Linked DNA regions of Arabidopsis thaliana. The protein of the gene in region 1 binds, or shares a complex with, the protein of each later gene. Each region holds a gene or a part of one and is shown in the gene's direction. Other genes may lie near its edges.

What was found. The genes of interacting proteins can lie anywhere in the genome.
Region 2: rps11 (region 1) and AT3G13120 share a complex: the UniProt entries of both Arabidopsis thaliana proteins name them as parts of the 30S ribosomal subunit.
Region 3: rps11 (region 1) and EMB3137 share a complex: the UniProt entries of both Arabidopsis thaliana proteins name them as parts of the 30S ribosomal subunit.

What each region holds. Positions count from the first base shown.
Region 1 is NC_000932.1:78,460-82,148, reverse strand, and holds rps11 (ribosomal protein S11), read left to right. Parts: upstream 1-2,772; coding exon 2,773-3,189; downstream 3,190-3,689. Other genes in the region: rpl14 (ribosomal protein L14), read left to right, coding at 1,085-1,453; rps8 (ribosomal protein S8), read left to right, coding at 1,677-2,081; rpl36 (ribosomal protein L36), read left to right, coding at 2,547-2,660; rpoA (RNA polymerase alpha subunit), read left to right, coding at 3,259-3,689.
Region 2 is NC_003074.8:4,218,810-4,223,596, reverse strand, and holds AT3G13120 (Ribosomal protein S10p/S20e family protein), read left to right. Parts: upstream 1-1,949; 5' UTR 1,950-2,070; coding exon 2,071-2,295; intron 2,296-2,447; coding exon 2,448-2,486; intron 2,487-2,975; coding exon 2,976-3,287; 3' UTR 3,288-3,308; exon of another isoform or gene 3,309-3,324; intron 3,325-3,496; 3' UTR 3,497-4,287; downstream 4,288-4,787. Other genes in the region: AT3G13130 (uncharacterized protein), read right to left, coding at 1-589.
Region 3 is NC_003076.8:4,616,718-4,620,906, reverse strand, and holds EMB3137 (Ribosomal protein S13/S18 family), read left to right. Parts: upstream 1-1,925; 5' UTR 1,926-2,134; coding exon 2,135-2,251; intron 2,252-2,448; coding exon 2,449-2,673; coding exon of another isoform or gene 2,674-2,718; exon of another isoform or gene 2,719-2,900; coding exon 2,901-3,068; 3' UTR 3,069-3,484; downstream 3,485-4,189. Other genes in the region: AT5G14330 (uncharacterized protein), read left to right, coding at 356-468, 687-960; CXE16 (carboxyesterase 16), read right to left, coding at 3,485-4,025. UniProt on the Arabidopsis thaliana protein: Located at the top of the head of the 30S subunit, it contacts several helices of the 16S rRNA.

The sequences.
Region 1 (3,689 bases):
GTAGAATTCGGGCCTAATGATTAATCAAGAAGCGATGGGAACGACGGAACCCATGAATATAGAGGATTCTATTGAAAAATAAATCTTAGTAATTCATTGGACAGGATGGCGGAATAAACCAGATTATTATCTATTCTTATTTTTATTCAGAGATCTCCTGGGATAAACAACAAACTTAATATAGATATTGAAAGAGTAAATATTCGCCGGCGAATACTTTTTTTTTAATAAAAGTAATAAAAAACAAAAATTAAAAAGATAAAAGAAAATAAGGATTTGTTAGAATATTCTAACAAAAACGACATTCGAGATGATGATATTACGTTACGTTATTTTTAAATAAATAGAATTAATCTTGGATTCCATTTCGAAAAAGACATACACAAATTTAGAAGAGATCAGATGAAATTGAATATCATGATTAATAGAATTAATCATTAACTATATCTTAATACAAGCTTTTTTAGTCCTTTTATTCGCGAGGAGCTGGATGAGAAGAAACTCTCACGTTCAGTTCTGTAGTAGAGATGGAATTTCTAATTTAGAACCATCAACTATAACCCAAAAAGAACCAGATTTCGTAAACAACATCGAGGAAGACTAAAAGGAATATCTTCTCGTGGGAATCGTATTTGTTTTGGCAGATATGCTCTTCAAACACTTGAACCCGCTTGGATCACATCTAGACAAATAGAAGCAGGGCGACGCGCAATGACACGAAATGTACGACGTGGTGGAAAAATTTGGGTACGTATATTTCCAGACAAACCAGTTACAGTAAGACCTGCGGAAACGCGTATGGGTTCTGGGAAAGGATCCCCTGAGTATTGGGTAGCTGTGGTTAAACCAGGTAAAATCCTTTATGAAATGGGTGGTGTACCCGAAAATATAGCAAGAAAAGCTATTTCAATAGCGGCATCAAAAATGCCTATAAAAACCCAATTCATTATTTCTGAATAGGAATATATAATGAAAAAACTAAATAACATTTAAGGGTAAAAAGATTATAAGTTTTCTTTTTTTGACAAACAATATTTTTTTACTTCGTCCTTTGCATTAAAAGAAGAGATACAAAAAAAATGATATGATTCAACCACAAACCTATTTGAATGTAGCAGACAACAGCGGGGCTAGAGAATTGATGTGTATTCGAATAATAGGAGCTAGTAATCGCCGATATGCTCATATTGGTGACGTTATTGTTGCTGTAATCAAAGAAGCAATACCAAATACTCCTCTAGAAAGATCAGAAGTGATTAGAGCTGTAATTGTACGTACTTGTAAAGAACTCAAACGTAACAATGGGACGATAATACGATATGATGACAATGCCGCAGTTGTCATTGATCAAGAAGGAAATCCAAAAGGAACTCGAGTTTTTGGGGCGATCCCACGGGAATTGAGACAATTAAACTTTACTAAAATAGTTTCATTAGCTCCTGAGGTATTATAAGATCTAAATATCGATAGCGATAGTTAGTATCGGATTAAAAAAACAGGTATTGAAATAAAATTAATTAATAGATTCTGTATCACGCATATACCCTTAATAATAAAATATTAAGAATTTAATTCATATATTAATATATAATTCGTCTATATCTATATATAAATAAAAGAAAAAGAACATGTTGATTATATCAAAATTATAGAACAATAAGGAATTTTAACTTATCATGGGGAAAGACACCATTGCTGATATAATAACCTCTATACGAAATGCTGACATGAATAGAAAAGGAACGGTTCGGATAGGATCGACTAACATCACGGAAAGTATTGTTAAAATCCTTTTACGAGAGGGTTTTATCGAAAACGTAAGGAAACATCGCGAAAACAACCAATATTTTTTGATTTTAACCCTAAGACATAGACGAAATAAGAAAGAATCCTACAAAACGATTTTAAATTTAAAGAGAATAAGTCGACCGGGTCTACGAATCTATTCTAACTCTCAACGAATTCCACGAATTTTAGGCGGAATAGGAATTGTAATCCTTTCGACTTCTCAAGGTATAATGACAGACCGAGAAGCTCGACTAAAAAGAATCGGCGGAGAAATTTTGTGTTATATATGGTAATCCTTCTAATATAAAAATTAGATATCTGTAACTTACAATTTGTGAAAAAAGGGGGTTGTGTAATACCACCCCTGTTCAAAAAAGTTTCGGATGTTTTACTTCGAATGAAATTAAAGAAAAAATGAATTAATAAAAGTTTTCTTTCTTAATCACTTCCGAACGGCATGGTTCGATTTTGTTTAGATACTAAAGATTTTTTTTCGTTCATGCTTCTGAAAGGATTCGACATATTTTTGTATAGGTATACCTATAGGATAAAAAGGTAAAATTTTGAGTAAGTTCTTAAGTATAAGTTAATAAGGGGACAGCCATTTTCTAGACTCCATAATAAGTATTCAAATGAGTAAGTGTTTTTTCAATTTCAACCATTCCTTTCACGAAGATACAATTCAAGATTCAAAAATATCAAGAAACCTTTTTTTCGTCCACCAATAAATATATTCACAGAATTAAGGAATAACAACTATGAAAATAAGGGCTTCCGTTCGTAAAATTTGTGAAAAGTGTCGACTAATCCGCAGGAGGGGACGAATTATAGTAATTTGTTCCAACCCGAGGCATAAACAAAGACAAGGATAATCTTACTAAAGGAACTAAAGTAAAAGAAAAGGCACTTCCAAAGAGTTGGAAAAAAGGGTCTATTTTGACCTGAAATGGATATATCCATATATTTCTTGTGAAATGAAAAAAAATGGCAAAACCTATATTAAGAATTGGTTCGCGTAAAAATACACGTAGTGGTTCACGTAAAAATGTACGTAGAATACCAAAGGGAGTTATTCATGTTCAAGCAAGTTTCAACAATACCATTGTAACCGTTACAGATGTACGGGGTCGGGTGATTTCTTGGTCCTCCGCAGGTACTTGTGGATTCCGGGGTACAAGAAGAGGAACACCCTTTGCTGCCCAAACCGCAGCAGGAAATGCTATTCGAGCAGTAGTGGATCAAGGTATGCAACGAGCTGAAGTAAGGATAAAAGGCCCTGGACTCGGAAGAGATGCGGCATTACGAGCTATTCGTAGAAGCGGTATACTTTTAAGTTTCGTACGAGATGTAACCCCTATGCCACATAATGGTTGTAGACCCCCTAAAAAAAGACGTGTATAGAACTAAAAAAAGGCTAAAAGGGTTTCAAGAGAAATAAACGATTCAACGATCTGATCAAATAAAATTACTATGGTTCGAGAGAAAGTCAAAGTATCTACTCGGACACTACAGTGGAAGTGTGTTGAATCAAAAAGAGACAGTAAGCGTCTTTATTATGGACGCTTTATTCTGTCTCCACTTATGAAAGGCCAAGCCGACACAATAGGCATTGCGATGCGAAGAGCTTTACTTGGCGAAATAGAAGGAACATGTATTACACGTGCAAAATCTGAGAACATACCACATGACTATTCTAACATAGCAGGTATTCAAGAATCAGTACATGAAATTTTAATGAATTTGAACGAGATTGTATTAAGAAGTAATCTATATGGAACGCGCAACGCGCTTATTTGTGTCCAAGGTCCTGGATATATAACTGCTCGAGACATTATTTTACCGCCCGCTGTGGAAATCATTGATAATACACAGCATATAGCTACCTTAACAGAACCAATAGA
Region 2 (4,787 bases), on another chromosome or scaffold:
GCCGTTTAGCTTCGATTCTAAGCTCTTCCTTCATCTTTCTGATGAACTCGTCGAATTTCTTATTCATCTCCTCCTCCGTCGATGTCATCACTCCTACGTTCCCTTCTTCTTCCTCGTTTATAGATCCGCCACGAAGACCACACTCTTCCTCTCCATCATTATCTGCTAATGTGTTGTCGTCGTCATCTTCTTCTTCGTTGTCCTCGGTTTCTTGATGTTTTGTATCTTCCTCCACTGTAACTTCCTCTGCAAGAAAGGACTCTGTTCCTATTCCATGATCAGATTTATACTCTAGCTCCAGTATCGTAGTGTAACTCTCGAAATCTCCATAATCAAAGGTTTTATCGGTATTACTCCAAATTTTCTCTATTGGTTTGGACGAAGCGACCAAACCAGAACACTTAGCAACAACCACTACGAGACCATTGCAGAGGAGGAACATGTAGTTTTTATCTACTGCGTGTGTTACGAGTTGGATCATGAACCTATATAAATAGAAGTCGTGGCTGGTTAAAAGAGATAAAATCCACATCGAAACTGCTATAAACTTGGTCAATTTCTTCAGAAACTCCGGTTTTATTTGATCCATCTCTCTGGTTTCTTTTCTTTGGTTTTGTGAGTGAATGGTGAGGACTAGAATAAGAAGAAGAAGAAGAAGGAATTAAACAGGTTAAAGTGTAATTGTGCAAAGCGTTACACTACACTCAACGGCTTTGGTATTTATAGAATTTAAGCCAAAGGCAATGGGCATCTGTGGATGATTTTACCAAACCACCCCTTGTTCTGAAGCTGCATGGCTGCATGCCACGTGTGAAGTGTGATTTCCCAGTTATGTGGATAAAAAAAAGTCTCTGTGTTTCTTCTATTGTTTGTTTGTCAACTAATCCATGTTTTCTTATGTCCTATTATTGGTTACATTGCGAAACGACCTCTGGTTAGTGTTCCAAAAGTTCCGAATCTTTTATGACCTCTGATGGAATTCGGATTTTTTTTCTTTTTATATCATCAAGCTATACATGATGACTTAGCTTTTATGGTATGTTAATGGTAAAGGAATATGACTTTTAAGTCATGTATAGCTTGATGATATATATAAAAAAAAATACTCATGATTGAGACAAATACAAACGGAATAGTAAGGGATGATTGGTCTTTGAATAGTGTGAGGGCTTGTGGACAATAATATTTAGAAGATGTCATTGTCTTTTATGTCTTTGATTGGTTTAAGTCATTTTCCTTCTTTAAATTGCATGGATTTGGCGACATCATTATGTTAATTGTTAGGCTTCTTCTACATGTATTTTGCTTTTATTAAAAAAAAATTATACTTGAACTACGCTAACACCTTATATTTCCGTGTGAGATTATGGATCACACATTTGAAGGTATATATTTACAGATTATGGATCACACAATTACAGATAAAATTAAGAACAATGCATTTAAAAGTCAAAAATCAAAACTACGGAATCCTTCCTTGATATTATTGTCTTTTGTATTCAAATTAATATTATTTTATGAGTTTGTATTATTTCATCGAATATTTATATTGTCCATTTTTTTCCACATTCATTGCATATTTTCATGGGGTTTTGTTTGTCAAGTAGTTCATTTTGTCTTCCACTTTTCTTAAATTTTCCATCTACTTCACGAATGTTTGTGTGTTGAATTTTCCAAAAGATATTTATGAGATACAAAAGAATCTTCTAAAGACAGATCACAATCCACAAGAAAGAAAATACCGAAAGACAAATGAATCATATTTTACTAGGTTAGAATATTTTTGGTCCCCAAAAGAACTATAAAATATGGGCCTAATGGGTACTTTTGGTCCCTAACAGAAACTATACAATTTGGGCCTAATGGGTATTCATTTATAATAAGCGTAGGCCTTTTAATGAATTAATGGGCTTAGAATAAATAATATCTCATCATTTAAAAAAGAGAGAAAAAGGTTTTGGATAAAATGGATAACCCTCAAGAAGAAGCTGCTGAAGAAGAAACCTCATCCTTCGAACGTTAAGAGGAAGAAGAATAAGAGAAATCGATTCGTGGTTTTGGGAAAATTCAATGGCGGTTTCTACTGTATCGTCGTTTCTATTGCCATCTTTCGGCATTCCAAGCTCTTCGCCTTCTTCTACCAGACTCAAAGTCTCTCTGCTGCCTTCATCTTCTACCCATGGCGGCCTTAGTTCCTGCGTCCTTACGAAACCATCCGTCTCGCTTACGAAGGTCTTCGCTGTTCCCGATACCCTAGATCCAACTCCAGAAATTCTCGATGAACCCGCCTCTGAGGTACACTCTTTCCTCTGTCAGTCTCGGATTCGATTGTTTGCAGAGCTAATGCGAAATTTGGGGGGGGGGGGGGAAAGACATTGTTTTGCAGAATCATTTAGCACTTTGATGTTAATTCTGTTAATAATAGTCTTTGTGTCTGTGTGATTCAGGTTCCGAGCTCTTCATCCATCAGTGTAGACGCGGATAAGGTATATTCCGTTACTGTTACAGCTCACTTACTAGAATACAGATTTTACGAGTACTTGTGCATTGGTGTGTTCTAAATTCTGTGTCCATCTTCGTCAAAACAGTAGACTTTTTTGCTTTACTACGTTTTCACAGCGCTAAAAAGTATCATATCTGTTCTAACACCAATGCCCATTGCTGTGTTAGAGGTCACTGCTAGAAATTGATACGCAAATTTTCAAATTTGATGTCTTCAATGTCTATCTTTGTCAGATCAATAGACTTCTTTGGTTTACTACGTTTTTTCAGAGCGATAAAGAGTCTCATTTGTGTGAAATGCCTTCAAGTAGATATCATCTTGTATATACAGGAAAGGAGAAGTAATTGTATAGAAATCTTGATCGTCTTTAGATGGTATCTTCATAAGATTTGCCACAATAGAGTTTTGTTTTAAGGGGTCTTGTGGAGTTTCATTGTGTTTGGTTTAATTTGATTTATTTTTGTGTTATCAGATGGCGCCAAAGCAAAAGATTAGGATCAAGCTTAGATCATACTGGGTGCCTCTTATTGAGGACTCATGCAAGCAGATACTTGATGCTGCGAGAAACACCAATGCAAAGACGATGGGTCCTGTTCCATTGCCAACCAAGAAGCGTATCTACTGTGTTCTCAAGTCTCCTCACGTTCACAAGGATGCTAGGTTCCATTTTGAAATCCGGACACACCAGCGCATGATTGATATTCTCTACCCGACTGCTCAAACTATCGATTCTTTGATGCAACTTGATCTTCCTGCTGGTGTCGATGTGGAAGTGAAGCTCTGAAGAAGAAGCGTAACTACAATGGTAACAAACAAAAAAAGTGATCTCTCTTCTTAATGGTTTTTGAATATTGATGTGTCTTAGCTACTGAAACTGCACATAGGCTCCAATATTTATCCTCAAAAACAAAACTTCATCAAATTACAATCTTTCTCTGTTGACCATCAAGATCTTGATGCTTGTTCTTAACCAAAGTGTTTTTTCTTCCTCAGATGTGATGGGCACTTTTGCATTGAATGAACAGACTGTTTCAGATCAACTACATTGCTTAGAACTGGTAAGCCTTGTATCATCTTTTTTGAGAACCTTTGTAACGAAAATGTAAGTTGTATTATCTGGTCCTTGGAATCTATCTTTAGCGATGCTTGGTTCTTAGTTGATGAACATATCCTTAATTAAGCAAGTTCAAAGGAATTTGTTTTTGTTTTACTAATTGTTATGCAGTTTGCCTGTGTCCATTATGATAAGTTTTTTTATTTTTGTTGTATTCAAAGTGGAATCTTTTTTTTGAATATAAGTATTATAGTAGTATTATAGTAGGAATAAGAAGATGCACAACTTGAGTTATTTTAAAACCAGGAGGTTGGAATCTTGAAAGCGACTTCATTATTATAATAAACGTATAAGTTCGTTTATCCACAAACTCAATAGGGAAATTATAATTTTTTGTCACAACACATTTCATTTATCAATTATCCTCTAGACTCAGTTCGTCTCTTTTCTTAGCAGCCAATTAAAACCTGCAAGTGTTGTTTTACCAGTCTTTCCTTTCCAAGCTTACGAAACGATCCAAGGGAAAAAACAGTAATGGTTTCGAATTTATGTCTGATAAGTCGATGGCGCTTTTTCTTATCTAATTTGGAATTTTGGATGATGCAGAAATTGTCAACCCCCCAATATTATAAAGTTGAAGAATATTCTTTTCCATGTTCAATCATACACACAACTATATCATTATTTTAATCATATGAAATGGTTTTTGGTATAGTAAGAAGTGGTTCATTGTAAGATAATGTCTTGACCAAAGAAGAAAGAAAACGAATAGTCGCCAAAATTGAATTTGGTTTAAGTAGATGAGACAATGATGTGGCGGTTTATAATAGTCGTTAAAGTTAAGGCATATTCCCACGATATACCAACATGGACCGTCCATTATTATTTATTTTGATTATAGTTTGTTCTCAAAAACACTCGAATAAATTGCTTTTTTTTTTCACAGCATTACTGAAATCATACATAATTTCTGCTTCCATAATCTTATATTTTACGAGATCGGTTTTATGATAAACTTTCAAGTAGTACCATTATGGGTTGTATTTTCTTTTACTACCATTTTGGGTTTATTGCAATTTGCATAAACATATTCAAAACTATTTTGCGTTCAACCAAATGGTTAAACTCTGGTTCATATTGATATACCAAAACACTCATATTGGATCAAATATGTAAGGTGATAATAACACTGATATGAACTAGTATACTATGTCTTATGAGTCACTATTT
Region 3 (4,189 bases), on another chromosome or scaffold:
TATCTACCGTTTTATCAAATAATTTTCTTTTTATTATTTGTTTGTTTACTAGAATTACAGTTTTTTCAAACAGATAAATAATCATATTAATAATAACATTTGCTAAATTTAGTTAAAAGAATCATGGTGTTACTTTTTAAGTTTTACTGGTTTGCTTTCAAGTTTCAAGAATGATTGTATAGTACTTTCGGATGTTTGATCTTTAAAACTTGTTGGTACAGTTGGAATGCTTTATTGGAAATATCAAACTATCACCAACGCTAACATTTCTATTCTTTTTGAACTTCATCAAGAGCCAAAGCCCCTGATCGGCCTCACAAAAGACACCATTTTCTTTGGTCTCCGGCAACAGAACATGGATTGGAATCAATCCCTAATCAAACCGGGTCAATTTGGCTTAGTCAAGAAACGTCCCTCTTATGTAACAGCTGTTCCAGAACGGCAGAACATTCACGAACATATAAATGGGTGTCCACTAACAAATTCAAACACATAACCATGATCACTCTGTCCTTTTTTCCATTTTTTTAAATATTCAAGTAAACAACATGTAAATTATAACGAATTTAGGTCGTCTCAACATCATGACTCATTCACATGCGTTGACTTTTAACCCACTAAACATTTTTTATAGGACCCCTCTCTCTCTCTATAAATTCGACCCCCTTTGTTGATAGATCATACAGAGAACAACAAAGAAAGAAACCAAATAAGAAGAAAAAGGAGAAGAACATTCAAATGGCACCAAGAAGTTCTTTGATCCGCTTCGCCTTCATCTGCATTGTCTTGGCCGTGATGGTCATGACTGCTGAGTCGCACAACGGAACCCACCACCATGGTCCGGCTATGGCTCCAATGCCACCCATGGCTAAGGCTCCGTCTCCAAGTGCCGCCACTTTCTCCGCCTACCCTCAGCTCATCGCCACCGCATTGGTCGCTGCTATGTCTTTCGTCTTCTGATGAGATGTGTTGCCATTCATCTTCAGAATATGTTTTACTCTCTATGAGATTTTATTTTAATTTTCACATGTATTCCTTCTTTTTTTGTTAATTCTTCAAAGATTGTGATGTTGTGTTCCTATCATAATAAAACATTTATCTCTTGATGTTTTTTTTATTATCTTAATCATATTTTCCTCTTTTTCGAACCAAATCTTCTAATCAAGGCATTATAATGGCCCGTTTGAGAAAAGGTGGACTTTCTTTTTAAAATCAACTAATTCATCTTAAGGTTATAGAATAGATAAATATCCGAAGTAAATATATAAAATAAATTGGGTCAGCCTAAACAAAATAATGAAATGCAGGCCTTACGTGACAGTAATGGGTACGCCTCAACAAATAATGGTGTATTCACTATTCAGACGTTGGTGTCAAAATCAATGAGTGATATCCTTATTAGAAGAACGACAAGCTTTAAACTAGTTTCATGTGTAAAGTACGAAACAATAAACATCATGAAAACACTCGAAATATTGTAGTAAACTTGCCAACAAAACCATGAGTACAAGTGTACAACTCCAATGAATCAGATATATATGCAAGATGGAAAAAATCCCCAAACACCTTAAAATACAACAACATGTGACAATAACGAAGTGAACGACCATCTCGATAAATAGTTAACAAGACTCATTCTCATCCGTTGACTTTTCATCTATACACTTACCATTTTTTTTATACAATCTTTTTCTATCATGACTCTATCCTCAATAGCTACGTGCCCACATGGAGCCAAGGCTCATGCCTTTCGTCTTCTGATCAAATGTGTGTCATTGATCACACCATTCATCTTAGTTGTTAAGAAAATATCTGTAAATCATTTTTTTTTTCATTTTATAGTTGTATCACTTTATTATAGTCCACTCGGTTTTTGCATTTTTGTTATAGTCCACTAGTTGGGCCGTGTTATACAATAGCGAGCCTATCTCAACAAAAAACAAAGCCCAACAAGTATTTATTTTGCCAGTTTTGTAAGCAATTAATTGAATAGAGTAAGTAGAGACGGAGCAAAAACAAGAGAAGCGTTTGGATTCGACGTTTGCCTTATCCGTTCAGCTCATCTTCTTCTTCTTCTTCGTCACCTCTGAATTAGTTTCCCAGAATCCGAAATTCCTAGGAAGAGAACATAACAATGGCGCAGATGGTTGCGATGCCCGTAGCGCACTCGCTCTCACTCATTTGCAATTGGGCAAAATCCAATCCTCTCTCTCGCAACACTCTTGCCCTCCCAGCTTCAAACACTCCCAATGTAATCATTTCTCTTGGACTCTCTCTTGCGTATGATGTTGTAATTTATCGAGCTTGACTTCATGTTTTTTTATGTGTTACTTCATTCTTGTTCGTCAATTTTTGGGTTAGGGGTGGTTATAGAACACTCCATCAATTTTTGGGGGAATTTGTCTCTGTGTTTTTAAAGTTTTTTTTTTTTTTTGTAATGAAATGCAGAAGCAGAGTCTAAGCATCAGATGTGCTCGTGTTGGTGGAGTGGAGATTCCGGCTAATAAGAGAATTGAGTACTCTCTTCAGTACATTCATGGGATTGGTCGAACTAGGGCTCGTCAGATTCTTGTTGATCTTCAGATGGAGAACAAGATTACTAAAGACATGGCTGAGGAAGAACTCATCATTCTTCGTGATGAAGTCTCCAAGTACATGATTGAGGGTGATCTGGTAATACACTTTCCCTTACATTTACACACTTTAGGACATGAGTAATGTGCATCATAGTTTCAGTTTCTGTCAGTCCATTCTCGAGCAGTTTCTTGAAGATTGGAGAAGAACTTAGGCTGCTATCTATTTGGTGTTTTCATTGCTTTAGTTTGGGTTTCCTCTTGTTTTGATTTGGTTCTTAGGCCTTTGTGAATGAATTATTGATTTGTGTTGTGGATGTTGTGCAGAGGAGGTTCAATGCTCTTGCAATCAAGAGGTTGAAGGAGATCCAGTGTTACCGTGGGGTAAGGCACATCCAAGGGCTGCCATGTCGGGGACAGAGAACCAAGAACAACTGCAGGACTCTTAAAGGCAAGAAAATTGCTATTGCAGGGAAGAAGAAAGTTTCCAAGTAATCATCTTCATGATCTCCTTCTTCTTCTGTAATACTCTTTTTAGTTTGTCTAGTCATCTCTGTTTAAATGTGATTTGTAATTCCCAAACCTTTGTTCGAACTGAGCCCTTTCCAGTTTATCTTCGGCTTTTTAGCTATTATTATTCCGTATCTTCATCATTCATTATAAAGTTACAAAAGAAGTTGAAGATTTCAGCATTCAAGAATGATGACAAACCAAGAACAAACTTGAAAATTTGGTCGAACCAAAAATGGTTTATTCAGAATACGTACATATGAATACATAAGTAACCAAAAAATAAAATTTTATAGCTTTTGCCAAAAGACTCGATCTTGGATTGTCTCTAATCCTACCCAGAAAATCTTGCTATCACACAAAAAAAAGGAAGAAAATGAATAATAACAGGGTAAAAATTTTCAGTAAGAGAACTCATGGCCGCGGAGTGAAATGTATTTCTTGACCCAAATGGCAATATCTTCGGCGCAGGCCTGTGCCTGAGGAGTCTTGAGAAGCATATCAAGTGTAGCAAACTCATGAACTGCGTCTTTGTATTCTAAAACTGGAGAATCTACGTTTACCTTTCTAAGCTCTTCTGAATAAGCAATGGCTCGGTCTCTCATCCAGTCATGCTCAGCTACTACTGTAAGTGTTGGAGGCATTAGCTTCAGAGGTGGTCCACTGCGGTTATGGGCAAGTGGGTTTGCTGCCGGGTGGTCAAAGTCGAACTCTTTCTCTGGTAAGAAGAGTTTCCAGGCTAGAACAGAGACAGGCTTATCGTAGAAGTAAGAGTTTGCCAGCTTTATTTCGGACTGTGTTGGGTTGTTTCCAATGAAAAAGGGGTACATTAGAACCTGTGCAACAACTTTCACCGGTTCTAGAAGTTTCCCAGCTTCCACTGCTTTCCGAGCTACATAGTCTGCTATGTTCCCACCACAGCTCACCCCGAGAAGAACACATCTGTTTTAACATCATATGAAGCAACAGGTTGAGACACAGAAGTTGATGTGAGATTGCAATCAATGGAAGATAAGCTATCTTAGTTCATCTAACTAGTTGTCCAAAGAATCCTGACTTTGTACCAAGTTACTCCTAGATCAACATGAAACTATTCTTAAGATCTT